Struthio camelus: one gene and its partner. Each later gene encodes a partner of the first gene's protein in a complex. Links are inferred from orthologs where the notes say so. Each region holds a gene or a part of one and is shown on either strand. Other genes may lie near its edges.

Evidence for each region.
Region 2: the proteins of ANPEP (region 1) and AGT are in contact, whole or in part, in a crystal structure (PDB 4FYS), measured with the Homo sapiens proteins. The link is inferred for Struthio camelus from reciprocal best matches to the Homo sapiens genes ANPEP and AGT. Residues at the interface, in NP_001141.2 of Homo sapiens: Gln211, Gln213, Ala351, Gly352, Ala353, Met354, Glu355, Arg381, Val385, His388, Glu389, His392, Glu411, Glu418, Asn438, Arg442, Phe472, Tyr477, Ile864, Phe896, Ser897, Asn900, Gln903, Ala904, Arg907; in NP_001369746.2 of Homo sapiens: Val27, Tyr28, Ile29, His30, Pro31, Phe32.

Annotation. Positions count from the first base shown.
Region 1 is NC_090953.1:682,710-697,866, reverse strand, and holds the start of ANPEP (aminopeptidase N), read right to left. Parts: upstream 6,970-15,157; 5' UTR 6,757-6,969; intron 6,477-6,756; exon of another isoform or gene 6,456-6,476; intron 4,810-6,455; exon of another isoform or gene 4,646-4,809; intron 4,219-4,645; exon of another isoform or gene 4,119-4,218; intron 2,700-4,118; 5' UTR 2,373-2,699; coding exon 1,765-2,372; intron 1,370-1,764; coding exon 1,227-1,369; intron 1,142-1,226; coding exon 1,005-1,141; intron 884-1,004; coding exon 757-883; intron 612-756; coding exon 457-611; intron 379-456; coding exon 265-378; intron 168-264; coding exon 24-167; intron 1-23. Other genes in the region: AP3S2 (AP-3 complex subunit sigma-2), read right to left, coding at 9,065-9,193, 9,994-10,101, 14,202-14,273. UniProt on the Homo sapiens protein: Broad specificity aminopeptidase which plays a role in the final digestion of peptides generated from hydrolysis of proteins by gastric and pancreatic proteases.
Region 2 is NC_090944.1:91,961,633-91,977,146, forward strand, and holds the start of AGT (angiotensinogen), read right to left. Parts: upstream 10,740-15,514; 5' UTR 10,591-10,739; intron 7,681-10,590; exon of another isoform or gene 7,403-7,680; intron 5,581-7,402; 5' UTR 5,554-5,580; coding exon 4,758-5,553; intron 300-4,757; coding exon 35-299; intron 1-34. UniProt on the Homo sapiens protein: Essential component of the renin-angiotensin system (RAS), a potent regulator of blood pressure, body fluid and electrolyte homeostasis.

The DNA of each region.
Region 1 (15,157 bases):
CCCTCGGTCCCCCCAGCACCCACCTTGCTGTAGGCGATGGAGTCGAAGACCTCGCTGATCTGGGCCGGGGTGTTGATCTCCTCCTCTCTGAAGGACAGCGGGTGGGAGCTGGCCAGGGCATCGGTCGCCATCACCGTGTACACCTCGTTGAGCACCATCAGGTCTTTCTGCGGGGGGCCGGCGTCAGCGCCCGCGGCACCCTCCCGGCGGCGGGGCCGTGCCTGGCAGCCCCAGCCCGCCCCGTGCCCTGCACCCCGCACTCACGATGCCCCAGGAGGACTCCGCCGAGTCGGCGCCCAGGTACTCCACGTAGGAGGCGAAGCCCTCGTTGAGCCACAGGTCGTTCCACCAGCGCAGCGTCACCAGGTTCCCGAACCACTGCGGACGGAGCAGAGCACGCGGTCAGCCAGCCCATCGCGGCCGTGGGGCACGGGCCAGGAGGGGGCCGCCGGGCACCTGGTGGGCCAGCTCGTGGGCGATGACGGTCACCACCCGCTCCTTGTTGCCGATGGAGGAGTAGGCGTTGTCGTAGAGCAGTGAGTTCTCCCGGTAGGTCACCAGCCCCCAGTTCTCCATCGCGCCCGCGTTGAAGTCGGGGAGGCCGACCTGGTCTGGGGGAGGGAGAAGCCCCGTTGGCGCGGTGCTTCCCAGGGGTCGGACCGGCCGCTGCTCCCACGGCCGGCAGCACGACCCCCTTCCCGTGCACGCCAGCTGGGGAGCGCTGCCCCATCAGCCCCACTGCCCCCCAGCACCCACCAGACTTAGGCAGCGGGTACGACGTGTTGTAGTGTTGCTCAAAGAAACTGAGGATGGGCCCAGTCACCTGGAGCGCGTAGCTGCCCTGGCCCTCAGCGATGGCCTGGGGACGGCCCCAGATGCGGATCTGGAGGGGAGAGACGCTGGGCTCAGCCCCCACTCGGCTCTGCCCCGTCCCATGCGTGCCGACACCCCGAGCCCCCGTCCCCCGCCAGGCTCTGCCCTGTCCCCCAAGCTCCCAGCCCTACCAACACCCTCCCCGAGGTGTTCTCCACACTCTCGAACTGGCTGACGATGAAGGCCAGCAGATAGGTGGACATCTTGGGGGTGGTCAAGAACTCGGTGACGTTCCAGCTCTCTCCATCAATCTGCTGCTGCCAGGTGCCTGAAGGAGGAGGAGAAGGATGGGATATCGCCAGCCTGCCCCGGGCCCCCCGTCCCAGCCCTGGGGCTCCCTCTGCCCCACTCACTCTTGGCAGGCATGTTGGAAATCGCCTTGTGGTCGGTCGGGTGGATGATGGTGACTGTGAAGTTGGCTTTCATGGCAGGCTCATCAAAGCAGGGGAAGGCTTTCCGCGCATCGGTCGCCTGCATCTGCGTCGTGGCCACGACCCTGCAAACGAATCCCCCATTGGCACCCGTAGCTCACGCAGCCCCCATGGCCCCATGGGAGGGTCAGGATCCCTCAGCAGAGCAAAGGGAGCAGCACTCACCCTGCTCCTCACCTGCTCCCCAGCCCAGCCTGCAGGCAGGAGCACGGGGACACGCTCAGGGCAAGACCCAGGGTGGCTTGTGCCCCAGGGGCACAGGGGATGGAGCACCCCAGCACCCACAGCCTTGTGTCTCCGCAGTCCCAGCTGGAGACAAGATGCCCCAGACCTGGCCCGTGCCCTCTGCTGTCTCTGGGCCAGCCCCATGCTTTGCCACAGCCCATCTCACAGACCCGCTCTCCCTGAGCTCCCTTCCCTCTTCCCTGTCTCCCACCGTCCCTCTCCGCCCTCCACCTACTTGGTCTCCGTCCCATCCATGTATTCACTGCGGTAGAAGCCAGCCAGGTCATCGGCCAGTTCCCCGGTGAAGATGCTGAAGAGCCTGTAGTACTGGCCCTTCTGCAGCGGCGCTGCCAGCTGCACCACCAGGTACTGGGTGGTGGTCTCCAGCCAGGTCTTGTTGATGGCAGGTGGGCTGGAGCCGTCCACCACCTGCAGCGAGATGTGGAAGCCCCCCTGCATGGTGTAGTTCAGCTTGTTGCTGTGGATGAGGATGATGTCGGTGGGCTCCTCGCAGATGAAGACCACAGTGCTGTTGCCCGTGAAGATGTACATCTGGTTCTCGTTGGGCTTCAGGAAGGGCCTCAGAGTCACCTCGTAGCTCTCCGGCTTCAGCGCTGTGGGCAGCCTCCACTGGTTCCAGAGGTTACTGGGGGCGGCCGTGGTGATGGGGGCAGTGGTGGTGGTGGTGGTGGTAGTGGTGGCGGTGGAGGCGGAGGGGGCGGCAGGCTTGTTCTTCTCCTGCGCATACACCACCGAGAGCGCAATGATGGTGGCCACGGCCCCCAGGGCCAGCACGATGGCCACGATGCCGACGCTCTTGCTGATGAAGAACCCTGCCGCCATGGTGGGACTGCAGGAGCAGCACCGGGGAAGGAGGCTCTGCCCACCTGGCACGGCTTTTAGCCTCTCGCTCCCACGAGGTTTATTAGTCCAGGTTAATGGGTGAATTATTAAACGGCCATGAGGCCCAGGGGGGTGACAGCCCCCGGGGACACGCTCTCTGTGCACCTGCCTCCCTGCTGTGCCGCAGTGGTAATGTGAAGTGCAGTGTTGCTGCAGCTGGGGCGAAGCCAGCAGCTCGGGACCGCACCAACAGGGACAGGCAGTGTGGGAACGGGCGCGGGCTGCAGGCCAGGACGCCTGGGCTCCCTCCTGGGCGCCTGCCTGGCCCTGCGAAGGGAAGAGCAGAGCGGTGTCACAGCTGGTGGCCACGACCCCGGCTCTCTGCAGGGCGAGGAGGACGGCCCCGGTACCCCAGCCCAGACCGGGGTTTCCTTAAGGCTGGACTCGGCGCTCCCTGCTTGCCCACGGCTCGGCAGAGCTCGCCGGGTCTCGCGGGGCTGGGGGCGAGCAGGAGGGCGCAGCGCAGCCCGCGCCCGGGGGTCCCGCCGAGGCAGGAGGGTGGAAGCCTGGGGCCGCGCTGGGGCGAAACTGCCCTGCCCACTGTGCTCACAAAGTCCAAGATCGTATTACCAGATTTATGTTGTACCAGAGGAGTCCAAACTCCAGGTCCCATGAACTCATCTCAAGATAGTGTGTGCCCGGTGCCTGGTGCTCCCACCGCAGGGTCCCGAGCAGCCTCGGGCACCGTGGGCAGCGCTCAGCCCGTGCGAGAGCCGTGGCCACGGCAGGCCAGGGCGAGCTCCGGGCTCCCGGCGGCCGGCTCACAGCCGGGAGCCAGCGGGCGTCCCGCGGGCCGGCACAGCCTCGCCTGCACCCCACAGCACCGGGACCCCAGGCTCCGGCTGGGAGCTGAGCAAACCTCCCGGGGCCCGATGCACTGGTGCGCAGGGCAGGGGCGCCTGGTGCGCCACGTGCGAGGGCAGGGAGAGCTGTGCCTTTGCCAGGGAAAGCAGCCGGAGCCGCCCTCCCGCCGGGCGCGGGAGCTGGCCTGCCACGCGGGTCTGCCCGGGAGCTCCGCCAGGGAGAGAGGCGCGAAGGCACAAAGTCCCGTGCAGGGCCCGGGGAGAGGAAGCGCGATCCATCCTGCCCCGGGAACAGAAAGTGCCTTTTCCCAAGATCTGATCTCTCCAGCGCTGTGACATCAGCAGGACTTGCCCTGCCGGGAGCAGGAGCGCTTGGGCTTGGGAAGAACATAGGAAATGGATAAGAAACATCCTCAGGGAACTCAGCCCCGTCCCCGAGCGTCCCAAGAGCGCCCAGACACAGCTGCCGGTGTCGCTGGTGGCTGCAGAGGGCATGGGGAGCCGTCCCGACCCCCGTGCCGTGCAGCATCCCCGGCCCTGCGGAGTCAGACCTTTCCACCGCCCGGCCCAGCCGCGGCTCTGCGCAGGCCCTGGGGCTGCAGGACACGCTCTGGCCAGGGTCTGCTTCTAGTGCAGCCCCCCAGGAGACGGGGGCCACAGCCAGCGGGGACGGTGCCCGGGGACCCCCAAACACCCTCCAGCTTGCACCGATGGGCATGCCGCACCCCAGCTCCTCGCAGAGGCACCCTGCGGCACGGTGCGCCAGTGCTCACCCCGGCTCGGGTGAGGGCACATCCCCAAAACCTCTGCCCAATGCAATTCCTTGCAGATAGCAGGCACTCACTGCACCTCGTGTCCCATTTCCATGGCCACGTGCAAATACCTGGCGCTCAGAAGAGACTGGGTCACGCGCACACAGAGGTTCCTTGAGGCCCCAGCCCTGCACACCCCATAACCTCTCTCACACACACGCTGTAGCCCTCCTAAAGTACACATATGCTCCATACTGTAATGCACACCCCGCAGCCCCTGCAGCACGCATGCACCCCATGCTCCTCATGCACGTAAATCACGCTGCCCAGCACCGCGGCCCCTGTGCACGCCCCGCAGCCCCTGCAGCACGCATGCACCCCATACACCTCATGCACGTAAATCACGCTGCCCAGCGCCGTGGCCCCGTGCACGCCCCGCAGCCCCTGCAGCACGCATGCACCCCATGCTCCTCATGCACGTAAATCACGCTGCCCAGCGCCGTGGCCCCGTGCACCCCGCAGCCCCTGCAGCACTCAGCCCGGGCACAGGCACGCAGACCCTCCTTTCCCCAGCCCAGCCCAGCGATGCCTGCAGGCTGCTGGCCCCAGGCTCTGCCCCGACACCGCCGTGGGTCCGGGCTGCGGCAGCCCCACTCACCTCAGTGCGCTCAGCCCCGGGGCGCGACAGGCCCCAGGCTCCCTGCCTGCCCCATCCCCGCCGGGGCAGCCTGCCTGCGCCCTGCCTGCCCACGGCTCTCTCTGGCTCCCCTCTGCAAGCTCGGCCAGCCAGCGGGAGGAAAGTTTCCTCCTAAGGCTCCAAGGGAAGTAACCTGAACCGCTCCTCGCCACCTTAACCCCTGGGCTGCTGGCCTGCCCTGCCCGGAGGGGCTGGCCGGGCACGTCCCGTCCCCCCGTGCAGCGCAGGGCGCAGGGCGCGAGGTGCCCCCGGCTGCAGCCGGGCTCCCGTGCGCCCAGAGCGGGGACGGGGCAGGCACCCCTCTGCACGGGGCCAGCGCCTCCAGCAAGGCCGGGGCCCCCGGAGCGGCGGGACCCACCGCGGCCACCGCATCTGGAAGGCATTTGCTGGGGGAAGCGGGCCACGCCAGGCGCACGCAGCCTCGGGGAGCGCGGCGCCCTGCTGCCGGGGACAGCCCGCAGCCGCCCAGCCGGCCTCAGGCCCCCTCCCCAGGGTCCTGCCGAGGTTCCTGCTCCCTCACCAGCCTGCTCACCCCTGGGGGAGCAGGGGACACAGCCCGCTGGAGGGGCAGGGGATGCGGGGACCGGTCACGCCATCACCCAGTGGCACCCAGCCAGCTGAGCACAGCTGGCTCGGTGCACCCAGGGGCGGTGTCCCTGCCGCTCATCACCCCAGCCCCGTGCCCTGCCCTACCTGGTGCCGGCAGGGACGGGCTCACGTGCCCGCTCAGGGGACCCGCACTGGCGCGGGGCTGCAGCCGGGGTGCAGCTGGGTTTCGCCACGGGCCGGTGGCCGCCCCGCTCGCCGCAGCCTGGTGCGGCGCCCTGCAGCTGGATGAGAGGCAGCAGCGCCTGCGGTTTTCCTCGCCCTGGAAGTGGCCCAAGCTACCCAGCAGAGCCCAGTTGGAGGGATAGGGAACTGGTTTCGCCCTGTGCTTGGCAGAGAAGAGGGTAAACACTCTTGTCTGCGGTATGCAGGTACCTGAAGTGGGGCTGGGCATACGCTTTGCTCCATCCATCTGCGTCCCTCGACCTCGCTGCCAAGGAGGTGAGGGCTTGGAGCTGTGGGAACGCACTCCCATGAGCAAACCCTGGCTGATCTCAACGAAATCCAGCACCTGCTCGGCGCCAAGACCCAGCCCGGCCGGGGAAGGGGACAGGCTGGGCTGGGCACCCCAGCTCCAGCTGCCAGGGATGGAGCCAGCCCCAACGCAGCGCTGCATCCGCCGTTTCCCCGACCATGCAGCAGAGACACGTCCCTGGAGGAGCCAGCCCTCCTTCCCCGCTGCTCGCAGCGCCTCCCGGCCACCCCCATCACCCGCAGGCGCCCCACGGGGCCGGCAGCCCCAGGACCCGGCCAGCCCCGGCCCTTCCCGCGCCTGCGCACGGCGCTGAGCCCCGCGAGCGCTGCCAGCACCGGTGCCAGGGTTGGCACCGGGCCGCCGCGTGCCGCACAGCCACGTCGCGGGAGCCAGGCCTCCTCCCTCCCTCCGCCCCGCCGGGGCACACAAGGGCCTCCCGTTTCAGGGCGGGAGCCGGCCGCCCTGGGGCACGGGGGCCTCATGCGGGAGGGACGGGGCTGCACTGCCTCGTGCGCCCCCGGGGCAGCGCAGCCAGGGCTGCAACCCTCCCCAGGGAGGAACCGCGCGGCCGGAGGTTTGGCCCCACTCATCCCAGGGCGAACGACCCCATCTTCTGCGTCCCCCTCTGCACGAGCGAGGAGGGAGCAGGAGGGGAAAGGGAAAAGCCTGAAGCAGCAGGCACGGACTCACCGGCTCCTGCGCAGCCCGCGGTCCTCGGCCTCCGCGGCCCCGCTGGGCCGGGCCCCCGGCAGGACGCGGGAAGGGACGGCGAGGACAACGCGGCTACCGGAGGCAGCAGCGCCTGAACACCTCCTTGCCGCAGAGCAAGCACTGCCAGGCATGTCCCGCACCAGCGACCGCCGCGCCACGGTGCCGCGCTGGGGCTGGACAGGACCCGGCCCTCCCTGGCGCAGCGGGTGCCCCCGGGAACCCCCACGTGGCCTGGAGCAGAGGGAGAACCGGGCACCGCTTGGCTGCCGCCACGTCCAACCTGCGCTCTGCGGCAATCCCGAGTTTTCCTCTCCAAGCCCCGGGGTCAGCCAGACCCCACGTCCCCTGCCTGGCCGGGCGCTCGCCGGCTCTCGCACGGACCTCCGCTGGGAGCTGGAGGAGGGCCGCCGGGGAAGAGGAAGAAACTGCGTGCCCAGCTCCTTGACCTCCAGGAACAGCTCGCGGTGGCTGGTGGCCAGCTGGGGAAGGGTTAAGCTGGCAGGGAGGGGAGCGGAGGGGGGCAAGGAGACCACAGGAAAATTCCTTCCAAGCACAGTCACCGTTTCCCTGCCAGAGGGAAGTGGAGGCAGAGCCCACGGGAGCGCAGCTGGGCTGGCCGGGGGTGGGGAGGGGAAATGAGAACAGGAACAGGCTCCCGCAGCCAGTCCCTGGACGTTGGTGGCCAGATGGAGCCGCGACAGGACACAAACCCGCCAGAGCCGGGGGCTCGGGGCAGGGCAGAGCAGCACCTCTGCTCGGCAGACGTCGCTGTCCGGCCCACGCCTCCACGCCACGCTCGGCCGGCCACCTCCTTCCGGCCGAGCCCTCGCACCCGTCCCCCGGACTGGGGCCACCTCCCCGAAGCCAGCCCGGACGCAGACCGCAGGGAGAGCTCCCAGCGGGCCGCAGGGCCGCGCGCCAGCCCTGGCCCCGGCCGAGCCGGGTGCCGCAGCCTCCCGCGTGCCCGGCGACGTCCTGCTCCCTGCGAGCAGCGCTTCCTACCAGGCAGAGCTTCCCAGAGCTTCCCAGCGGCTGGCGTTGGGCAAGAGAAGGGGCTGGATGGAGACGAGCACCGCCGTTTCTGCAACAGCCAAAGCAGGCTCCACAGCTACGTGGCCTCACAGCCGACTGGGGAGGCTCTGCGGCACAGCAAGGCCGGAGAGCTGGCGGGGAGGGCAGCGGGCATCAGGTCACAGATAGGTGGCCAGAGCCCTGCCAGGCCACCTCTAAAGGCAGATGGCCACTGCTGCGGCGCAGCCTCCGAGCAGGGCTGTCCTGCTCCCCCTGCCTGCTCCAGAGAGCAGGGCAGGATCTCAGCAAGGCGACCTGCGGGTGCCACACGCTCGGGGTGCCAGGCAGGGGCAGGCGGAGCTGACCCCATCGCCCACAACCTCCCAGGAGGACAAAGGGGCCAGTGGCCTCACCACCCAGCTCGCCCTTAGCACAGGAGCAGTGAACTGCCCCAGTCCCAGCAACGCCCTGACAGCGAGGGGAGAAAGCAGCGCCATCACACGCGTCGCAGCGGCCGTCCCGCTGGTGGGGGCTCCGGGAGCGCCCTCCTGGTGCTCCTGCTCTCCCCCCGTGGCAGCACCGCAGCCTCCGGGGTGCCGGGCAAGCCTGCCCTCGAAGCCCGCACCAGGAGGCCACAGAGCAGGAAAGCCCAGCCCATCTGCAGGCTACACTGCGTGCACTTGGCACCCAGAGCCTGGCAGCCCTGCAGCACGGCAGCCTGGGCACCAGCTCCCCCTGCCGAGAAGCCGCCCTGGGCAGCGGCAGCCCCAGCAGGAGCTGCACGGAGGCCCTCTGCCCACGCTCCCCCTGCCAGGCCGCCCCACAGCACCGCTCCTCCACAGCCCCCGGGCCAGCAGCACCCACGCAGATGCAGATTTTCATAGTGGTTTATTAGGACTCCGTCTTCCCCCCTCACCGCCAATGTCTGCCTATACCGCAGATGCTATCCCTTCGCCCAGACCAAGCAGCCCAGCAGGAGCACAGGTGACCAAACCCCTACTCATCTCATGACAGAGGGTCCATACCCAGTAAGTAGGAGTAGCGGGGGCACAGGGATGCCAGAGCAGTCAGAACAACACAGCCCGGGGGGACGGAGGAGAGGGACAACCCAGGGCTCCTCCAGAAGCCACCAGGGATAGATCCATTTTTAAAACTAGAAATTCCAGGTCCTGGCTTTTCCCGCCCCAGCTAGAGGAGAGGCTGCACATCCACCCGGGAGGGAGGGAGGGAGGGAGGGAGGGGAAGAAAGGCCACCCTTATTGCTAGGGACACCAGGGAGCACAGCTCAGCTCAGGGCCCAAGGTGACAGACAGACAGCAAGCAACACTACCCCACACTTATTGGGCCCCACACCCCACCAGAGCTCTCTGTTCTGCCAGGCAGTTCACGCACCCTGGCAGCATACCTGGCCCTCCACGTGCTGCACGGCCAAGGCCAGGGCCTGAGACAGGGAGGGGGGCACATCCAGAACAGGCAAAGAGAGTCCAGCTGAGATCAGGTCCTCTCAGCTGGAGAGCCAGCCAGGCTACAGCCCGTGTTCATGGACAGTCCTCCTCGCCTGGCCTGCCTAGGGATGCTCACACAAACTGTGACAGGTTGGGCACTTTGATGTTGATGTCTCCGATGTTAATGTTGCGAGGGATCTCTGGCAGGTTGATGTTCTTCACAGCTGAGACAGCGCGGGAAGGAGCTGCCGAGAGGCCTCCCTGGTGAGGAGAGCAGAGAGGGGAACACCGTGATTGCCAGCCCTTTGTAAGCTCCAAAGACTCCCAGGGCTTAGAAGGCTCCAGGCTGATCCTCCGGCTCAGCCTTGTGCTTTGCCAAGGGAGCATTCCCAGTCCGAGTCTCCAGCTCTCCCAGCACTGCGCTGCCGCTCGCAAGCGCCCAGGGCCTGGCCACATCCCCAGCATGCAGCCAGGCCCAGCTCAACCCCAGCAGCCAGCCAGGCACCCCTACTTCAGCAGAGGAGCCTGCATTTCCACCGCCTGCCTGATCAATAGTCCCAACTGTGTTAATAGCATACTACTGGGAGAGGCAAGGACATCCAAGCACTTCCCTCTCCTGCTATCAGCGCACAACTGCCTCCTCACAATGCCCTGCAAACAGGGGCAATAAACACTTTTCACTACCTCACTTCACTAATCTTGATGGAAACAGTGATTTCCACACTCTGACTGCTCCCTATACACCTGAAGCAAGGTGTGCAGCCGAATGAGGGATGCCCTGAACGCTCTCTTCAGGGCTCGCAAGGGCAGAACCCAGGCATGCTGGGAACAACCCATATACACAAGCTCCTCTCCCCCACACACTCCAGACCACACACCCTGCCCCTCCTCGTCAGTCTGGAGCACATCAGACCTATGCACCACGGACGTCCCAGGGAACATTTTGCCCCTCCGGTCAACCGGCACTGCATACCCCAGCACATCGCACCAAATCCTCCCAAACCCCCATGCTGTCCTCCCCTGCAGGTCACACCAGGGAGAGCCACGGCATTACCACTCACCTCTGCCTTCTCCAGCTTGCTCTGGGCCTCTGCCTGTGCCACGATCTCATTCATGTTGGTCTCCAGCACCATGCCACCTATCACCACCTCCTGCAGGATGTAGTGAACCTACGAGGCAAGGGAAGACCGTGAACCCAGTCCAGGTTCATGGGCATGCTGGAAATTGCAGGGGCCGCAGCCCCTGCAGGCTGGCAGGGATGAAAACCTTTGGGACAACCAGATTCAGGACAAAGCAGCGGGCACTGCAGTGTGGAGCGCTGGCCAGAGACCCCATCTCTGCCGAGGCACTGCGCCTTGGCCAGACTGAATGACTTGCTGGCCAGGAAGACCAGACATCTTGGGTTTCGGCACCCACTGCAAGGTGAATTAGCCCACTTACTCAAGTGTGGAAGCAGTGCTGGGGGCTGATGTTTCCCGGAGACATGCATATCCAGCCCCTTACTCATCTCAGCCAGAAAGCGCAGCAAACACAGCTCTGGCAGCTGGCTGCCTATCTGACCCTTGCCCTGGACCCTCAGTGACAGTCCAGGAAGCCAGATATACTGCTTGTACTTCTGCTTTAGAGAAGAATGACCAAAGAGACTGGAGTAAATGTTGCCCATCAGACCATTATGCAAAACAGCCCCAAGGGAGGCCAGGTCTGGCCCTGTCCCACTGACACACCCTGGTTGCAATATCCCTGATGGCGGCACTGAAGTTTGATCCCTCTCTGCAGCAGAAGACCTCTCTAGGACAAGGGCACAGTTCATCCCAGGGAACAACTAGAAAGCGCACATGAGAACAGTGGCCTCAAGGCACTGGGATCTGGACACTTCACAGAGCAGCAGTGATCTGAGAGCCTCCCTGGTGCCACCAGTCAGCATACTTTTTCTCACACCTTCTACCTATCCTCCTTTCCCTCTCCTTCTTCTATCTCCAAAGCCAGGCCAGAGACAAAGTGCCTGATTTTGTTACTTTCGCTTAGAATAGCTAGGACTGTGATACGCGCGTGCACACACACACACACACACACACACAGGGAAAGGACACAACTGTTAAGAGAGTCTCCTTCCTGCTCCAGGGGCCAAGGATGAAACAGAGTTGTCCCAAAGGAGAGAGCTGCTACCTCCTGCCAGCCCCAGCCAGAAAGGGAACCAGCAATACACTGCAACCACAGCATTAGACAAGGCCTGTCTTGGCTGGCAACCCCAGAAAAAAGAATACAGGATCACAGGTGGGCTGGGCCATGCTGTGCTGCTGTGACACACCTTCAGTTACACCATCCAGCACAGTACAGACTTCCTTGCTAAGTCAGCAGTCTCCAACAGCAACCCAGCACAGATAATGAATTTATGGGTCTCTGCTTACTTCCGTGAAATAGGCTATTACTGAAAGATGGTTAAGTTATTATCTTGTTTTATGGTTTCATGAGGGTTGATTGCACTTGCAAACATGGTGAGGCAAATACTTGCAGGGCAACGCTGTGAAAAATAAACCACGCTAGAGAACCTACCAGAAGGAGAAAATCCAGCTTTGCCCAGCTATAAGCCCGATGCCCCGGTAATGCTTCTCCACGGGTCTTGCCCTGCCCTGACAGTGCCAGGAGCATCAAGGTGTGCTGTGATCAGTCTTTCAACAGTGCTGCACAGGGAAAGCCAGTTGCCATACATTCCCTTTCTGGGTCAGCCATAATAACCCGATTGCCTCCAAGCACCACAGCACAGTAATTGCTCTCCCACAGCACCAGTGTCCACCAACGTCCAGCCCTGCAAACACGCCACAAGACGATACTAGCAGCTCTCCGCAACAGGAGAGCATCTGGGCTGCAGGAAATGTTGTTCCTTCAAGATCTGGCTTCAGTCCAAATTGGACCAAAACCAACAGGGCAGAAATTCCAAGAAAGCTTTGTTTTCAGAAACGAAACACAGCGCTTCCTGAACAAAACGTGTCCTTTCTGGGACCTTGCAGCTGCTTAGCAAAACTCACGTTCTCATCCAAGGCATGAAGCACAACTAGGGTCTGTACAACAGGACCATGCCATCATGCAGCCTGTTCTGAGTCTCTCCACGACTTCCACAGCTCCAGCCTCTCCTTGTGAAAGAAGGATCCCTGCAGCTTCATGGTTCCTGCTTCCAAAGCTGACAGCATAAGAGTACCTGTGCCACTGGCTGCCTGTGAACCACAAACTCGACAGCCCCATTCAGCTGCCTGCTGCAAGACCAGGGACCAGAAACCTGCAGAAGCTCTCATTTCATGGATTTCATGCTGCCGCCTCACAGGGTCCAGGCAAGGCTGCACCCAAATCCTAGCCGGAACCTGCTGGGCTTGAGATATTAACAGCCAAAGGCTCAGCTCAACCAGTGAGCATTTTCCAGTGGACGTTGGTTTACTTTCTCCCCTGTTCTAGTCAGGAACTCACAAACTTTGTAATCAATCAGTCAGAGCGGAAGGTAGCGCCATGCCCAACCTTTCCTGCACAGCCTTTGACAAACTGAAGTCTGGAGGCAGGGGGCCTGTGAGAGGCGTTCTGTCCGGACATCAGAGGGGCAAGACATGGAAACCAGCACAATGTACCTGCATATTCTCAGCGCTCCCAACAGTGCAAGCCTGTAACCTAGCAGCTGGAACCACTGGCAGTCAGCAGAAACACATCCGGGAATCAAGCAAATGCTAAATATAGAAAGATAGATTAAGTCCAAACAGGAGGACCAACTGATAGCGGCCAAGGACTGAAGTCAAGGCTGGGAAACAAAAGGAACACAGAACCGGAAATAAACAAACCTAACTAGTATGAGAGCCTTGGGGCTGACTGAGCCTAGTATTTCCCCTGTAAGAAATTCTTCCTGATTTCTGTCTCCTTTGAATCCTTAGCTTGTCAAGAAAGTTTAGAGGAAGGACAGTTCATGCTAATGCTAGCAAAATGCACAAGCAATAGGAACAACCTCTTCTGCCTGTGGACTGCGGAATCACTGTAAAGCTGCCAGGTCTGGGTCACTCCGCAAATTGAGTAAATGAGAGTGTATCCTCCTCCAGACACTGCCACAGAAGATTTGGGTTGCTGCATCACTTCTCCCTCAGGTACTCCTCACCGATTTCCTCTCTCGTCTCCCTCTCCTTTTGTTTGCTTTGATAAAGAGTGTTTTTTGCTGACAACACAATCAACCTTGTAAACCTTCTGCAAGTTTACAACCAAGCAAACTATAAAGTCAAAATCTTAACCAGTTGTTAGCACATTCAGCTGCTCCAGAGCATCTTCTAAGAATATCTGCTAACTCTATTTCTCTGCCAGAGAATTTATAAATAAGAACCACCAACAGAAAGGGAACGTTTTACAGCTTTACTGATCTTTTCACTCCTCCTCTTTGTTGTTATGTTTTGTCTTCAGCAAAGCAGGAACAACTTTTATCAGCAGTAACACAAGCCCAGGACACATCAGCTAACTCTCTCCTATCCCTAAGGATAATCCCTGCTATCTTCAGTTGCATCTAGAAGATGATCAAAGAGAATAGGTTCCCACCCAGAAACTCTGACCAGCTAAAGAGGAAGCATTAAAGGTTGTGGCTCAAATGAAAGTTTACCAAACACTTTGTATTCCAAATACTCCCATTGTTTTTTCCCTTGTTTTCTCCAGCTCTAATGAAATGTTAACAAGACTCCAAATAGTGTCCTACAGCGCAGTAAGAAGAGGTAAAATGCCTATATACAAAATCAGATCCTGTTTAATTCCATCAGTGCTGACCACTGTGCAAGAGGTGGAGAGTGAAGCCTCAGCATGGATCCCTGTCACATGAACACGTGAACACCCAGCACGTCTAGGGCAGTTATCAGAACCAACCCATATCCACAAACCGATTGCTTTGTTGTAGCAGAGATCACAGCACCACAACAGCAACGCAGCAGGGAACTGGGGCAAGTGCTTTGAACCTAAAGCCAGCTTACACACGGAGGACTCAGAACGCAGCCAAGCAACTCGGATCGTTTACCAGGAGGACATGGCACGAGCAGCTTATAAAGAACACATACTGATAATCTTCCCAGTCAGAATTTTGATCTCCCTCAGGGAAGAACCTAGCTATAGGCTCTCCTGAAACGCTCAAGAGCTTGGAGCGAAGCCTGCTTCTGGGCTCAGGAATGTACGTGCTAGAGAAGGCAGAGCTCAAAAGCAGCAAGATGCCGGGATGAAACAAAAGGTGGTGGCCTAGAGGAGCGCGCAGAAGCCTAGAACCCACCTTGTCCATGTGAAAGATGAGGTCCAACTCACAGACATTCTCAAAGCACTTGTCCAGTGTCTCCACAAACACCTGAGACAGGAGGAAAGGAAGGTCAGGACAGAACAAGCAAGACATTTCCCGCACACAGCACCAGTGCTTGCACATGCAAAAGGCTACAGCCCTGGCCAAAAACTGTCAGATCGCTCACTGCATCCCAGGCTTTTACCCTGAACAGGAACAAATTCCTCTTCAAAACCCCACCTACTTTCAGTGCTAGTGAAGTGCCTATTCCCAGGGCAACCACACATAGGCTCAGCCCCAGGAAGCTGGTCAGGACCCTGGCTCCAGGAAAGGAGCAGCATCCAGGGGTGGTGTGGAGGATTGGGGGTGTGCACAGAGCAGGCTGAGGGGGTTAGGCAGAGCTGCGAGCAGGATACGCGCAGCGAGCAGCCAAACAAGGAGGCCTCTTTCCGCACAGGCACTGCCCAATAGTGCTGGGACGACCAGACACGCTCTTAGTGCCAGCCCGCACTAAACCACAGAAACCAAATCAAAAAGCCCACATCAGCTCCAGACCCTAGGAGAAAGTTTGTCTTGGCAAGAGGCATGTGGCTGGAACATAAGCCTGGCCCTGGCTGAGCCTGCTGTGAACGGACTGCACAGCTGGTGTAATACCAGCAAACTCGGAGGGCTCCTCCTCCAGCAGTGGGTCACGCTTCCTCTGAACTGTTACTTCTACCCAGTTGCTATTGTCTTCAGTTGTTCCTGGTACTACCCAGGGCAACCGGAACCTCCAATTTCAAGGATGTGGTTTGAACCCAAGTCCAAAGAGCCTGGCACAGGGTAAAGCACACTGAAACACGGAACTTGGCCGTTCTGGGGGAAAAAAACAGGTGCCAACGTTCTGATAAACTGCAGTCACAGGGCCCTGACTGGGACAATGGCTAGTCATTGTGTTCTTCCACAAGGGCCAG
Region 2 (15,514 bases), on another chromosome or scaffold:
CCTACGGGAGAGCGTTTGTGTGTCTGAACTGTACCTTGGAGACAAATCCTGAAGCCAGGCGGAGGATTGCACGGGAAGCTTGGCCTCTATCTTGTCCAGGTCATTGCCATTAATGGGCTGCACCAGCACTAGCAGAGCGTTCTTGCTGACGGGAGCTTCAATCACAGCGAAGGTCTTGCTGGCGTCAGTTTTGTACTTGAACGTCCCCATCACTGACATCCCAGGCACTGAGACCTTGGTGTTTGAATCAACCCAGAATTTCTGAGGCTCTTTCAGCCGCGAGGCTTTCTTAATAGTGACTGAAAAACAGATTGAGAATTAGTAATTGATTCTCCTTTCTTTCTTTCTTTCTTCCTTTTCACTGCTGCCCTTAAAAATTATGTCTGTTCCAAAAAAGCACACTACGTGTTATACGAAGGTCATGTGTATAAGATGATGTGTAGGTACCTCAACCATATGTATCCTGCCTTTTAAGTACCCTCTGACGGCATGAGGTAGAGGTTGGTGCAGACTCGGGGCACGAGGTCCAAACAAACACGGGACTGCTACCAGAGCTACTGTATTTCCACCGATCTTGTGGCCTTTCCTGGACGCAGTATTTCTGTTTACCTGGTTACCTACCTCCTCCAAGACTACCAAATGGTTCCCAGTTTGTTTCTAGGCCTGTGTGGAGGGTCTGTTTGGGTTTCTGTGACCTGGGCAGCTGGGAAGCCCGTGGCAAGTGCCGCAGGGATGGCCCTTGCTGCAGGGATGCCCTTAGGTGAGGAGAGGCGGCCACAGAGACAGCTGGGGGGCTTGTGAAGGACAGCTATCACGAGCTCTCCTCCAAGCCTCACCTCGGGTGATCTTGAGAACCAAAGCAATGACGGGCTAAGCCCTAAACATGACATGTCGTTTAGGCCAAGGAGGTTAAAAGGACATGTCTGAATGCTTTCTAAACAAACCTTAATATGAATTTCTTACCCAGCTCACAAGTATAGGGAGCCTTGCTCTCGCCTCCTGCTGCTCCTGTGCAGCTTTGCATTTCAACAGGTTATCTGCCCATTGCCATAGATCAGTGCTGCTGCCCAGGTGGACAGAGAATCCTGTTGACGTTAAAGAAGCTGCTGCCATCAGTGAGAAGGGCAGAGTTCAGAAACCTTGAAACTGCTCTTTGGCGGAAAGGAATTAGGAAAACAGATCATATGTTGTGGTAAAGAAAGGAACCCCTGTAGTAAAGTATTATTGGTGTAAAATAGGACTTGGCCTAGCTGTACTGTCAACCAGTCTGTTCTTCAATAAATCTAGATAAATCCTGGGCCCTAAAACATTTAATACGTAATAAATTGTTGCTTAAAGAAACTCTTGCCCTTTAGATGACTTGCATAAAAAGGCCAAGACGTTTCACTTAGACATTTTCTCTTAGTATGCTAACTTCACCAAAAAAAAAAGCAGCAGGCAGGAACGTGAAAGGCATAAACAAAATAATGAGTATAGTTGTTCACTTTTCTCTCATTTTACTAGAACAAAGGATATAAGCTGAAAGCAGAAAGGAGCCATTTTCACAGTGTCCGTATAACCTGCAGTACTTGCTGCACAGGAGAGCAGAAGCTGAGACTGTAACAAAGGTAAATAAAAGGAAAAAAGAACTGGGCATTCAGATAGCTGAACATATAAGGTTGTGATGGTAACTATTTTTAAATAGTCTTGGAAAGCACATAAAGAATCTTAGCGAGAAATAAACCAACATTAATTACTTACAAGGCAGCAGGTTAGCTAACAGGCTGCTTACTGATATTTCCTTCCCCTTTTCTCTGAAGTAGCACTGCCCTGTGTCAGCCATGGACGCTTGAGGACATGGACCTTGGATTTGCTCCAGGCTGTTCTTATGTTGTTATTAAGTAAAAGGAGCTCTCCAGAAAGAGTTGACTCAAAGGACCAGGAAGCTAATTGCCTCTGGCACGTTACATGCAAACGTTTGGATGCAGAAAGGCATCTTGAAGCAAGAATGGTGCTTGGGAACTTCACAGTTTAGTTGTATGTTGTTTTGTTAAACGCTGCCAGTGGGGAAAAAAATCACTGGTTGGGCAAATAAATGAGCCAAGCGGATAAATTGTTTCTTCAGCAGTACTGTTTTAATTATTTATTGGTGGTAGCGCATTTGGATCTGATTATGCAAAGTTTCAAAGCTCTGCTGTTGACTGTGGGACTGGGTTCATTAATATTGGGCCAGTCATGAACCACCATAAATCAGCATTGCTGTGCTGAGAGAAATGGCTCCCATCAGCCTTTTGCCAGGTAAGGATTTGGATGCTTCTGCCCTCAGCCAGGTTTTTTTCTGCCAGATGTTCCACAAAATACTAGAATGTGAAGGGAACGACTGGGAGCTAAGCACGCACTCCCCTGAAAGTGCTGCAGAAGCAGTCGGTAGTCTTAATACAACAACTTGTCACTGTTCCTTACAGCACTGTTTTTAAGACATAGAAGAGATCTATTTACTAAAGAAACCCTGCTTTTTGCTCAGGCATGTGGAATGTAAAACAAAGAAATTCAAAGGTGATGAACATCCCGTCGATAAAAAGTGCTAGCTGTCACTGGAAGAAACGCGTTATTGCACTGAGTCCTCTTGGATTAGGACATGGTCACTGTGGGGCTGAGGAACGTTTTGTCAACCACGTGGGAGCAGGGAAGAAAGCCTGTATCTAGAAACAAAAGAAAGATAATGGAAGGGAAGTAAAAATCGTGGAAGCCATCAGTCACAGGCTGAAGATATAGCCTGAGAGCCTGGGAGAGGACAGGAGTACTTTGGAGTACTGCCTCTGGAGGACAATAAAGAGACACTGGACCTCTCTGCTTCAGATAAGCTATGATTTTTTTCGTTAATAATAATAACAAAAGGCAAAAAGCATCCCACCACGTTTCTAGTTAAACCTGAAGGTGTTCAAGGTTATATATGTTTGAAAAGCAGCCTAAAGTGGGGGAAGGGAATTAAGAATCCTGCAGTCTCACTGTGCTGCATCATCCATTTCCATTTGCTCGTTTGTAATTATTTTGCAACTTTACAAAGAAGTCTGCTTCTTTAATAGTAATAATATTTCATGAGCGGTAGATTTCTAAATGCAATCTGGGCTTAGCATCCAGTTTGCAAATGTGACAATTGTGTGCAAGAGAACAGCAAGTGAGACCATTGCAATATTTAAACTTTGTTTTTACTGGATTTTTTAATCAATCCTATGGCTGTCAGTAATATCTTACGCACATATGTAATGTGTTCCAGAGCAATGTAATGCTTTTTTTTTTTCCTTCCTGCAGTTAAAGGAGCAGGATGTGGAACTTGTAAGCACCAGCTTTCATGGTTGCCCCTCCATAACCAAACTGCAAAGCAAATGCTGAAGTCCATCTCTAGTATTCATTGGAAAAGAGTTGTTTATCTAATTCATTCATCCTTGAGCCAGTTTTTTCCAGCCCACACATGGAAACTGCATCTCAGAGGGCATCCTCGGGAGAGAGCAGAGGAAACAGCACTGACCTAGTGACTCAGACCCTCAAACGTGTGCTTCTAAACTAATAAAACAGCAAGTTTCCAAGACAGAAGACAAGGAAGAAATTGCTCTGCTGAAGGAAAAGTCTGCTCTTGCGATGATACGCAGCTCTGTACAAGGTTAAAATACAAGAATTACTTTTACAGCGCTATCTGTATGCTTGACTGTACACTGATGAAGCGAAAGCTGGAGTTCTTGGCCCCCAGTACTCACACCTTTCACCCGAGGCTCTCGGATCAGTTTATAAGCACGATAGATCTCCAGCAGACAGCACCCATCAAAGGCAAAGAAAATCTGATCTCCGTTTTACAGGTGGGAAAAGGAAGGCTCAGAAGCATTTCATGAGCTCCACCTTTAGCAGTAGATGCCTACTTAGACACTTGCATCTCGCTGGAAGTTCTCTGAAATGTAGTCATTGGTAATGCAGGCTGCCATAAAGCTGCAACCTCTGGTATTGTGTTCAGTTGCTAGGATGGTGAAAAGCAACTGCGCTCAGCGGAGGAGGCTCCGTGGTCGTACAGGGGCGTATCTGGGACAGCAGCAGGCAGTAGCTCCAGGCAACTAAGGAACTGCCTTACATCTTCTCATTTTGGATATTCTCCCAACTGGCAGCTTGCTCAGTTGCTTCCTTAGCCAGAAGTTGCCTCCGGACTTCTCTGTTTAACAGCCACTAGAGGAGCCATGTCTGCGGTGTGGGTTGTTTTCTTTTTTTTTTTTGGCCTTTTTTTGAATCCGTACCTCCAGCCTGCACAATATCCTATAACACATAGTCCCCTCTAAAACCATGTGTTGTGTGAAGAGATATTTCCTTTTGTTTATTTTAACCCTACTTCCTGATGACTTTCTCTAGAAGCCCCTCACGGTTCTTTTTTTCCTTTTGTGGTAAGAAATAATCCTCTCATCCTTTGCTTCCTAGCTGAGGCTAATTTCTCCGAGGCAGTCTGCCTGCCTTGTCTCCATTGCCGTGGCGGGGCGCTGGCAGGGTGAGGAGAGCAGGCGCAGGGCAGGACCCGCAGCAGAGCAGGCGGCAGCACCTGGGTATGCGGCACTACACCTCTTGCACTGCACCTTTTTCCCCTCGCTGTGGGAACCTCCTCGACCTTGCCTCCTCCTCAAGAACAGAGCCTGACCCAGCGCAGCAGCACGGTGTTGTTAAATGGGACGAACGGGGGAGACTGGGGCATTACCTGCCCTTGGCGCGCTTTGCTGCTGAAATGAGCCCTTGCTGTTTCTTACCTGCCAAGTGAAAGTCTGCTGCAAACAGCAGGCTGGTGGCTGGATCGAGGTCTGCCAGTAAGTGCTTGCTTCGGCCCCCGCTTTTGGCCTCCACAAAGGCGTTTATCTGTTTTGCTGCCGCACCTGGGTTTGTGAAATCGACGGCTCGAACGTAGAGCGCGTTGGCAGAAGGGACCAAGTCATGCACAAATAATTCAGACAAAGGCACCCTGGGGGCAGAGAACAGGTAGAGCGTCTTGGAAAAGAGCAACTCCTTATCCCTGTTCTTGACCAGGAGGCTTTCGATAGTCCTCAGGGTTGAAAGGACTTTGTGTCCATCGACTGTGGAAGTGCAGTCAGGGTCTCCAGAGGGGCTAACAAATCCCAGCAAACCCTGCAAATCAGTTGCCGTCTGGTTTGACGCACCTAGGTAGAAGGACACCAAGGAGCCATAGACACTGGTTGGTGACAGGAGGAGGTTTTGGCCTCTGTGTGCTTCCTTCAGCTCACTGTAAAACCGTGCACCTAAGACATAGACAAAGTCCTTCAGGCAGCTCACTCTCTGCCTCTCTCTGATGCTCAAGCTCATGGTTTCCAGCTTGACTATGTCATTCAGGTGATCTTCATAGGCAGGTCTGGTTTGGGACTCGATTGAGACAGGGACAAACGTCTTCTTTCCTTCCTGGACCAGGTTCTCCAGCTCCTCGCAGGTACTCTTGTTAAAAGAAAACAAATTGAAGGGGTGGACATAGACGCGGTCACAGGCCACTGCTGTGAGGCATGCGAACAAACAGACAAGATTTGCTGCCAGCTTCATGTCGAAAAACCACCTCCACAGTGTCTCCTTAAAGAAAAAGGAAGGAAGATTGATTAGCTTGCTATAAATACTGTTCATTTTACTTGTATGGAGAGGCATTAGCGTAACGCTGGAGTTACAGAGGTGAGAATTGCTGTATTTAGTGCTGGTCTGACTCTGCTCCCTGCAAAGTCCAGGGTGAAGTCGTCACCAGTTTCGATGACGGGAGGTGGAAAAATGCTAGGCAGAGATTTGATTTTCTTAGCCACTGTAGTACCCTAAAGATTCAGGTCCTGGAAGCAATATGGTCATGCACTTGGACCAGTTAAGCTTGCCAGCTAGAGCGTACTAGTTCTGGCAAAACCCTGTAATAATGCAGCCATGTTGTTCCAGGGACCTAGTCAGAGCTACCTCTGCGCATTGCTGCACCGAGTCTTGGTGACACACGGACGGGCTAAGGAGCTTGCCTATTGTTACGCGGGAAGTGCTTTGGGAAACTAGGTGTCTTAAGGTCCTCTAAGCCATCCTGTTTTATATGTCTAGGCAGCAGAACGCTTGCCACTAACAGAGCATTTTGCGTTTTCATAGCCCAGCACAAGCATTCACTCTTACCACATGGCTGAAATGGATGCTTCTAGGCAAACACGTGCAAGGCTTCCTTATACAAATACACCAACACTGAAATCTTCAGGAGGGCTCTAAACCACTCAGTGCCACGTCTGTATCACCAACACTTTCATTTATATAGGGAAGTGTCCGGGTTTAAAAGCAATGTTCAAGCCCTGATGGCTTCCCAGCCTGAATTTTGATGTGCAGCCATATATCACTGAACGATCTCCAGGTCTTTTATGGCTAATAATTCTCCAGTCTGTGGTATCACCATTCTCTTGCAAATACAAAAACCAAGATGCACAGATGTTTGGTAATTAGATGTATACCTTGCCAAGTACATATGCATGTTAACGTGCACATCTGCATTCCCTGATTGTATGTTCATATCTAACAGGATTGTTTGCAGACAGGGTCTCTGCTGTTGCAGTGGTCCCTCAGGATGTCTAAACATCATCTTAGCTAGTGTCGGCCGGTCGGACCCTCAGTAATTTGCTCTGCACAGATGTGGGGGCAAAGACTTGCTGCAGAGCTCAAGTTCCAGTCCCATGTGTTCACACACGGTTTGCTCTTCGCTGTTAACTCCCATCCCAGCCTCTAAATTAGCACGTAGGTGGCGGCAGTTGCTGCTGTCCCTTCTGCTCCCTTCCTCTGTCTCTCTTTGCCTCACAGCAACTAGAGCTCGTAGTACGCTCCCAGCCCAGGTCCCGCAGCTGGGGATGTGCAGTGCTGTAGGGTTTCCATGCTGCTTACGACCAGTTAAAAAATTATCTTACGAAATATCCTTCCAACTTTCTCTTCACAGTTAACCCAGCCACTGTGCTAGAGCATTTCCACTCTTCTCTCCTCTGTGTTTTCCAGCCTGGGCCAGGCTCGGGGAAAGAAACAGAGACGCCAGGAATTGGAGGCATTGTCCTTCCCTCCCTGGTCTTCTCTATAATGATTCTGTGTCTCTGAAGCACTCCTTAATCCTTCCTGTAGTAGCAGTGGGAAAGACTCTGTGCCACTTGCTCTAGAGGCAAAGCTATGGCTGTGCCATAAGGCACAGCTGGTGCCTGGAGTTTGCTTTCCTGCTGTGGCTCTAGCCATGTTGTTAACTCCTTTCTCATGAGCAGAAGCAGCAAGAGGGACAGTTTTCGCTTCCAGCCCTTATACTAAGCCAGATCTGCGGAGAGCGGAGTCAGCCCAGAGCCTTTCGCAAAAGCCTGAGATCTTGAGCAGAAAAACTGACATTCAAAGCAAAACCAATAAATGTGCTTACTCGCGTCTGTCCAGATCTGAATCTCCCCCTCCGACAACGGGCAGGCTCCTCTCAGCACCTTTTTGCTCCTGGAGTGCTGTGTTGTGATTGCAAGTGGCTTTATGCCCTTTCCGAAGGGAGGGCCCTTTCTGGATGTCTCCAGCAACACAGCACGAAGCCGCTTTGCACCTCAGGCTGGGCGGCTGAAAGGAGTTGGATCAGGCCAGATAGGACCTGATGAAACTTGAGTGTGGCTTGACGCTGGATTCATAGAAGAGTCTACAGATCAATACACAACCTTTAACCAGACCCAGTACATTTGGGTAGTCTGCAGTTAGTTACACATTTACTAAGATGGACACAGACTCCTTGTTATGGAGAAAGAATTGATTCTAGGGCTGGAAAATAAGTCAGTCCATTTTAAGTCAGAGTCAGAATGAACATTTCCTTGCACCTGCATTTTACTGTACTGTCAGATCAGATTTTTCTCTTTTGGATAAATTGCTTTTAACTTGCAGCTTGTGAACCCATCAGTAAATGGGATATGTACTTCCACGCAGAGTGAAATGATTAAGCTCTCAATCTCTAGCCTTTCTTTTTCTCTTAACCTATCCAGAAGATCAAAAGTTTGTTTCTTTTCATCATAAAAACAAAATGTGTTGAAAAGGACAGGATTAAAGCTAGATGGTAAGGTTGCCAAATCCAGATCCCGTTCTCCACAGGGAACTCACCCCTCCCAATCTCAGTTTCTCAAATCCTAGGATGTCAAAATATTGTCATGCATAAGGGGTGGGATTCAGAGGTCTTTCTGCTGCTTTAGAAGTGATCCTCCGATTTTGCCGGGCTACTTCTTCCTCTTTGAGTAAATGAACAGCAAACCAAACTGGGGCTGCTGCCATTGGATTAAACTGAGTCCCGTTCCCTGCCCTCAGTGTACTTAAAGTCCCATGGCTCCAACAGGAATAAGACTGAGTTAATGGCCATACCCTGATCTTAGAGAGCCGATCAGGCATGGTAGGCCCTGTGGAGCCCAGTGACATGAAGACTTCAGGGAGAGAGGCAGGAACGAAGGCGGGACGGGCTGCTCACCCTGGGCCGGGGTGACTAACAGCGACTGGATTGCACTGTCAGGATCGGAGAAGGGATGGAAAATTTCCGCAGCCCTGCTTTTCATTTAAACAGCTTGATTACTTTAGCTGTAATGAGGTCTAAAAGCAGTTCTGAGTATAGGCCCGTGTGGCATGCCATCATGCGCACGAGGCCTGAATAAACAGCTTGAAATATTTAAGGTGTTTTCTCCTCTCCCTGCCTGAGCATCCCAATCTAAGAAGCATCTGTCAACAGAGCAACCCCCGAGCACTTATGCAGTCTCCAGATGGCTATAAAAGGCATGCATCCCCGCCACGGATCCAGGCAAGCGAGAAGCGGTTCCTCCATTAAAAATGCATTTTGTTGAGCTAAATATTGAGAAGAGAGAGAGCTGGGTTTCTGGCTGTAACCCCCCTTTGCCTACAGCTCTCCCTGCAGCCAGGCAGCCAGGTGCAGCCGGCTGGGGCCCAGCTTCTCGAGCCCGGAGGAGGCTTATGCGGGACGTGGGGTGGCACCATCAAACCTGTGTTTCCTGCTCCTCTGCTTTTGCGTTCGGCATTCGGCACCAGTGGTGTGCGTGGGGGCCAGACCGTGCCGGGCCTGTGAGCTGTGGCTGGTCCACTCTGTCCTCCTATGCAAGACTTAACCAGCAGAAAAAGGAAACTGCAGCACAAGTTTTCAGTGTCCATAGAGGGATTTCAAGCCTAGGCTGTTTCAGTGAAGGGCACTTTGTGCTCTATAAAACACTGAAAAATATCCTTATTAACAATAATTGTTAACTTTTGCTGACAAGCCATGAGGGATGCTAATAACAGATGCTACAGCTGCCAGACTCGTGTCGTTACTGTGGACAATAAACACGGGAAGAGGAAACCATGTAACCTGCAGCTGCTGCATCGTCCTCCTTATATCATTATGCCTTTAGCCATGATTCAGAAATGCTGCCGTAGCACACTGCGGGAGCTGTCCTGGGGGGCATCCCTGCTCCCAGCTGCCCTGGGGCCCCCCTGCAGCCCCGGCTCCTCTTGCCGCGGGGAGGCCGGGAGCAGGAGGCAGCTCCCGGGTGGTGCTCTGGCGGCTCCATCGCACAAAGACAGCTCGGTTTTTAGTTGAAAGTCTTCAGGTTTTTGGCCGAGCCGATCTTTTTTTTCTTTTTGGTGTGTGCGGGCTCGGTCCTATTTTCTTCAACAAAAAGTTGTCAGTAACTTTGGGGAGCGCAGGGATTGTTGTTTCTTGTTGTTTGCTTGTTTTTTCCAAACTCAATCAATAAAGTCGTTGAATGAAAAGACCCAACGATCTCTAGAAAACAGTTTCACGGGAGAGTTTTCAGCTTCTGCACTGCTCACAGTCGCTGTGGCCAGCAGCGTGCAAGAAATGCCTGCGCCGCATCACTGGGGGCGAGTGAGCAAGGCAGCGGCAGCTGAGCCGCTTTTACCACTGTGCTACTCCTGCTTTACGTCACAGGAAATCTGGCTCGACTCCGTAATGAATTAGAAGCTTTGATTTTAGCTTATGTTTGTGTCTTTGTACAAAGCTCAGACGCCAAGTCCGCTGCTCATTCACACTCGCTCAATTAACATTCCCCGATGAAGATGCATCAGGCACTATCGCACTTCTTAGAGCTTCGTATTTTAATCGTTTCACACTTTCCCTCTGGCTGCACACACGTTGCTACACCTGGGAACATATCTCATCCTGTTATGACTTAATTACAGTTAGTTTTTTACTCCTGAGCCATTTTTAAGCCAGAGTGCACAAATATCGTTCTAATTACTAAATGTGGACTCTCTTATCAGGCTTTTCCCCCCCCCCACCCCACCCCTGTAGAGTGGGGTAGCCAGGGTTTCAGGAATGAGCATGTGCTTCAAGGTAGAGCTTCGACTTCCGAAAGGTGAAAGTCTCTGCCGTGCCCTCAGCTACCCTGTCTGAGGATCTGGTGCCCCAGGGAGCTGTGGCAGAGGCACCGTGCCAGGCAGAACGGGCACAGAAAGCTTTCCAGCCACCCCAGAAGGTAAAAGCAAGACCTCTCCTAAAGGCATCGCCAGCCCAAACAGAGCCCAAGGCACACGCGTGAATCCCACCTTGCAACAGCCACCGAAAAGGCGCAGAGAAACACACACCTCAAACCTGCTTTTCGAGGAAGATGCTCATGCTCTTCTTCTCCCCCACTCTCTGATTTTGGGAGGTGACCCAGGTTTCCCTTTTATACCCACGGTTACATAAGCGGTGCCCCAGCTCCCATCCCCCAGGCGCTGCCCTGATTTCTGTTAGAAACCTTTCTCTGTTTTTGCTGTTTGTTATTCATGGTGGCGGCTTCCCCCTCCAGAGAGGGAGCAAAAGAGCGGCTGAAAAACTGGTCTCATCGGCACTGCACTGCGGTTTTTGTTTCCCTCGCATCCTCTCTTCTCCTCTCTTTTGGGCTATTGAAATTAAATCCGTTTGTCAGACAGGCTGACTCTCCTGACGTACGAATGGGGAACCATTGGCGGCCAAGGAAAATTTCTCAGTGTTATTGCTGTTAGTGTTTCTTTATGTAAACACCGTCAAATATGCTTCATAAATTTTAACCCTAGCAGAGGAACACTAATCTTAAAGCTAGCGGCGAATAATTAGATCTTGAATGGAAAAATGATTTGGTCCAAGGTTGAATATCAATTGATGGGCACGCAGGCTCTCCTCTTGCTGATGAACACTATGTCTCTGCTCTGTCAAACCGTGTTTTCATTGATCCACATAGTTCTGGGAAAGGCAGTATAAAATTCAGCACTTTATGTAGAGACAATAGTAAATATTTTATTCTGTTTTGTTCAGTTTGTTTTCCAGTTTGCTTAAATTTTGCCCTGAGATTTGAATTCAGAAGCAGCCAGACATATTACTGTGATGATGCTCTTGTCTCCTGTGAAGTTATGCCAGGAATTATTCAGAAGGAAGTTACTGTGGATCGAGGATAATAAGTGACTCCACTCGCTGATTCAGCCCACAGACAATGCTGAAAACCTTGAGAAACCTTCATGGATTGAACTGGCACCTCTCACCTATGTAGATTAAGAACCTGCACATGGCCAGCTCAGACGTGGAAGTCTGTACATAGTCACACCTCATTAGTTACTAGATGTGAGGATTTCTTTTTTTTTCAGATTAAAAGTACATTCAAGGAGAAGTAGGCACAAACAGTTCATTTATGCAACCTGTGGATTTAATTTGGTAATCGTAAACATTCATCAACATCAACATCAACATTCGTAACTGTTCCCCTTCTCTTATGTTTTGCCAATGGAAGACAATGTGAGATCCAGATACGGCACCCGAAGGAGAGGACGAATGACTGCTGGGAAAATGACCGGAAAACAGGGAGAAAGAAGAAGCCTGTGTGGGAGTACCTAACAGAAAGGAGACAGGGAATATCACTTTATCAGCAGCTGCAGTGGTTGCTGCAGATATGGCAGGCGGTCATGAAGCTGGAAGGCAGACCACTTGTGAGACACGCAAGCCACGCTTTCTAGAGCAGCCAAGAGCTTAAGCAGACTCCGACTCTTCGGCTTGGAAAAGCGGCCACAGAGATGGGGAGTGTAACCATATAATGATGAACAGCATGAAGAATGCAAACAGGATGTCCTTGCTCACTGTTTTTTCACAATGCCAGAATCAATGGGTACCCAGAAAAATTATCAGATAGCACATTTAAACAATAAGAAGTGCTCTTTCTCATATCTCAACCATGGAAGTCACTGCTATAGGATGCTGCAGAGACCAAAAATATTAATTAGTACAAAAAGAGATTAAATGAAATCACAGAGGATACAGCCATCGCGGTTACAGAACATGATGGTCCCAGACAACTGATTGGCTTGAATCTGAGCTTGATCGGTATCGCAGCTCTCATGGTCCTCCTTAAGGGCTTGTCTTCAACCTGTGATGGAAATGGAGATATCTGAGCTAAGGCCAGGTTAAGCTGGCTCGTCTTGTGGCACAAACTGGAAACTTTTTTTCAATAGAGCTATCACAGGGAAACATCACAGCTAGCAAGCCAGCCCTCGGCTGCGGTGTGGCTGTACTGTGCTCCTTTGCACAGTGCATTTAGGAAAACTGAAAAACTTTCAAAAATTGTGAGTAAGTTCTTAATGTTAATCAACCACTTTCAGGTTTTGGTTTTTTTTTTGCTCTCTCACCCAACATACCTGTACTAAACCAGTGGTACCATGGTGTGAAATTTGTCTCCTCAGGTCCTGCTAGACCTTTGCTCTCTGTTCTCACTTGCACGGCACATGAAGTATGCAGTGACTTCTTTCAGAGCAAGTAAGTCGGGAAGAAGGTGTACAGAGCTCGTGTTGTGCCAAGCAGGTTCCTGTGTGGTACTAGACCAGTCTTCCACCCGCTCTCCCTGTGACAGCTGTGGCAAGCTGCCCTGGGCCTGATTTTCTTTTGTTTACTTGTGCTATCTTCGGTGGGGAAAGGCTGGGCAAAGTAAATTTTTTAACTGTTTTAATGCAACTTTGATAAGGAGTAGCTTTGTATGTGGATTTCATTTTTTCATGTGTTTTTCTCTGTATACCTGACGCCTGCCCTTGTTGGCTGGAAAAACTTTTCCAGAAAAGTAGTTGGTGAACAGGAGGAATGTAATCAGTTCTTGCCCAATTTTTGTGTAAAGAGGATTGCAAAAAAGCTTCTAAATAATAGCATTCAAAGTACAAATGATGAAAGAGAGAGAGATTATCGGGCACCTCTGCTTCTGCAGCAGGTTCTCACGGCGAGGAGCGATGGAAAAATTTGTAAGGGAGCTGGTACAAAACCCAAGGACCGCTTGTACCCAGGCTAACCCTAGGGTCAAATTTGGGAGCAAAACTGAATCAAAGCCATGCTTGGCTATTCCCTCAGGGCGAAGTTACGTGTCAGATGCCATGCTAGGCTAGCAGCCCACTGCCACTGAGCTGGAGGGCCCTCCGCCCCGTGCTCACCTCAGCCTTCATGCTGCCCTGGCCCTTGCCGAGCTGAGCACCGACTGGTGACCGGCTCTGGTGTGCACGGGGGCTCCGCTCTCAGCTTGTCTCCAAACGCCAAGAAATGCGCTGCTCCCCACAGGTGCAGACCAGGGTAACGCTGGGAGCAGGTGCGGTCAGCCTCTCACTTTCTCGCACCTCTGGCACAGCCTGGGTCGCACTGGCCCCCCGACAGCCAACAGGGTTGATGGAGGCCAGGCTGGACTCATTTTGTAGAAACATGGCTGGGTCCCCAAATAACTACACTTACAGTGCAGTAATCCCTCCCTCGTACACAGAACGGCTCTTTCAGACAGAGCCCGCAGCTGAGGTGCCATGGCCATGCCAGCCACTCCTGTAGGCATCAGCCCCAGCTTTGCGGTGAATGGTTTGTGATGGACCACGCTGGTCCTAGCCTGGCCACGAACCTTCCCTGCGGAGAAGGGTTCCCCTTCCTTTTCCCCTCAGCCTCCCTCTAGCTGCCTCCATCCTTCCTTCTTTGCCGACAGCTGCTTGCCCTGGGCGGGCAAGTAGCAGGGCTCATATTTTGGCTGTCACTTGATGTTCCTCTGAGAAGAGTATCTGTTGCAGTTTCCCCTCTCACCCTGCCTCACTGGAGGAGCACTCTTATGTGTATACAGCTTGAATAGTTCACCAGTGAGAAACAGCCTGGCTCCTTCTCTGTTGCGGTGGTGAAGAGCTTCCTCCAATCTGTGGAGTCTTAGCTCCTGAAAGGCAGCTTCCATGCAAAGAGCCAGTGACAGGGGCAATGCTGCAACTTTCTTGGGTCAGCAGAAACGTTTTTCACTGCTCCACATATAATCTATGTTACAAAAAAGACTGAAGGTTTTGGAGACCCAAGACAAGAATGAGGCTTTCAGATCCACTTTAATTTGAAGGGTGCATAGCTCCCAACAGCAAAATTGTTGGCCTCATTGGACTCCCTCCCACTTTTGGATTCTGATAGAAAGATGCAAAGATGGTAGAAAACAGATAGACTGAACCAGGCAGCATCACGTTAAGGGTGCCCAGGTAGATAACCTTGTCTAAACAAGGTTATCTCTCCTTGGAGCTGCAATGTGCCATGTAGCTGCATCACAGCTCTTATAGGACTAGCTCCAGTAACACTGTGTAAAAGTGGGAACCAAATTCCCATGTGAATGCCTGTGTGGATCTATTTGCACATCTGAGTCTGCAAAAGAAGGAAAATACATTACAGATAAGTGCTGATCCAGCACATTGCAAAACTGCATGGATTTCTATGGCTTCCTCTCTTCCTAGGCGAAGGTGCCTCCGTGTGGAAGGCCTCTGCATCTCAGCTAGGCATGCAGTAGGAGCCGTGTTTAACACCAGTATTTGTGGCTAAAGTGCCAATAGCGTTTGGAAATGTCATTGCTTTACTTTTTACTTTATTAAACCAGTAATTCTGAGAGCAAGAGAAGGCAAAAACTTAAACTTTTACCCACCAGTGTTTTGTTTAGTTTCGTTTTGTTTTCTGGAAATAAGGAGAGACCCTGTAAGTTTTTGAGGTTTCTAAAGGTAAATAGCAAAAAACCCATCCTCTCACAAACCAGAATGTTGTGCTTTTTAGTTTTTAGTTGATCATTTTTAAGCAAATGCATAAATGTTTGCTGCAGTTTAGAGTCTATTTTATTTTATCTTACTTCTTTTTCTCCCCTTTCAATATTAAGCGTAAGGGCATGATATAACATTTTAGCTTACTGCTTAAAGGATAAAGCTAGGGAATAGTAATTTCAACCCAGGATATTCCTAGTGAGAAAAGAACAAAAATTGCCTCCTGCTCCTGGTCAGGATGCTGAAGTAGGCACTAATGAAAGCCTCTGAAAACCATAAGCTCCCCAAAGAGCCCAGTGAGTGCTCTCAAAGCCATTCGCACAGGAAAATCTGAGTTCCCATACGGTTTCCTCTGATTTGGAGGTTTGAAGGCATGCTACAGCTTGGCTCCTCTCCCACACTGCCACGCAGTGTTCCTCAGTCTAATAAAAAAGAATGAAAATAATCTTAAAAGCGTCCTTCTGTTTGTGAAATGACCCCCTCCTCCAGATAA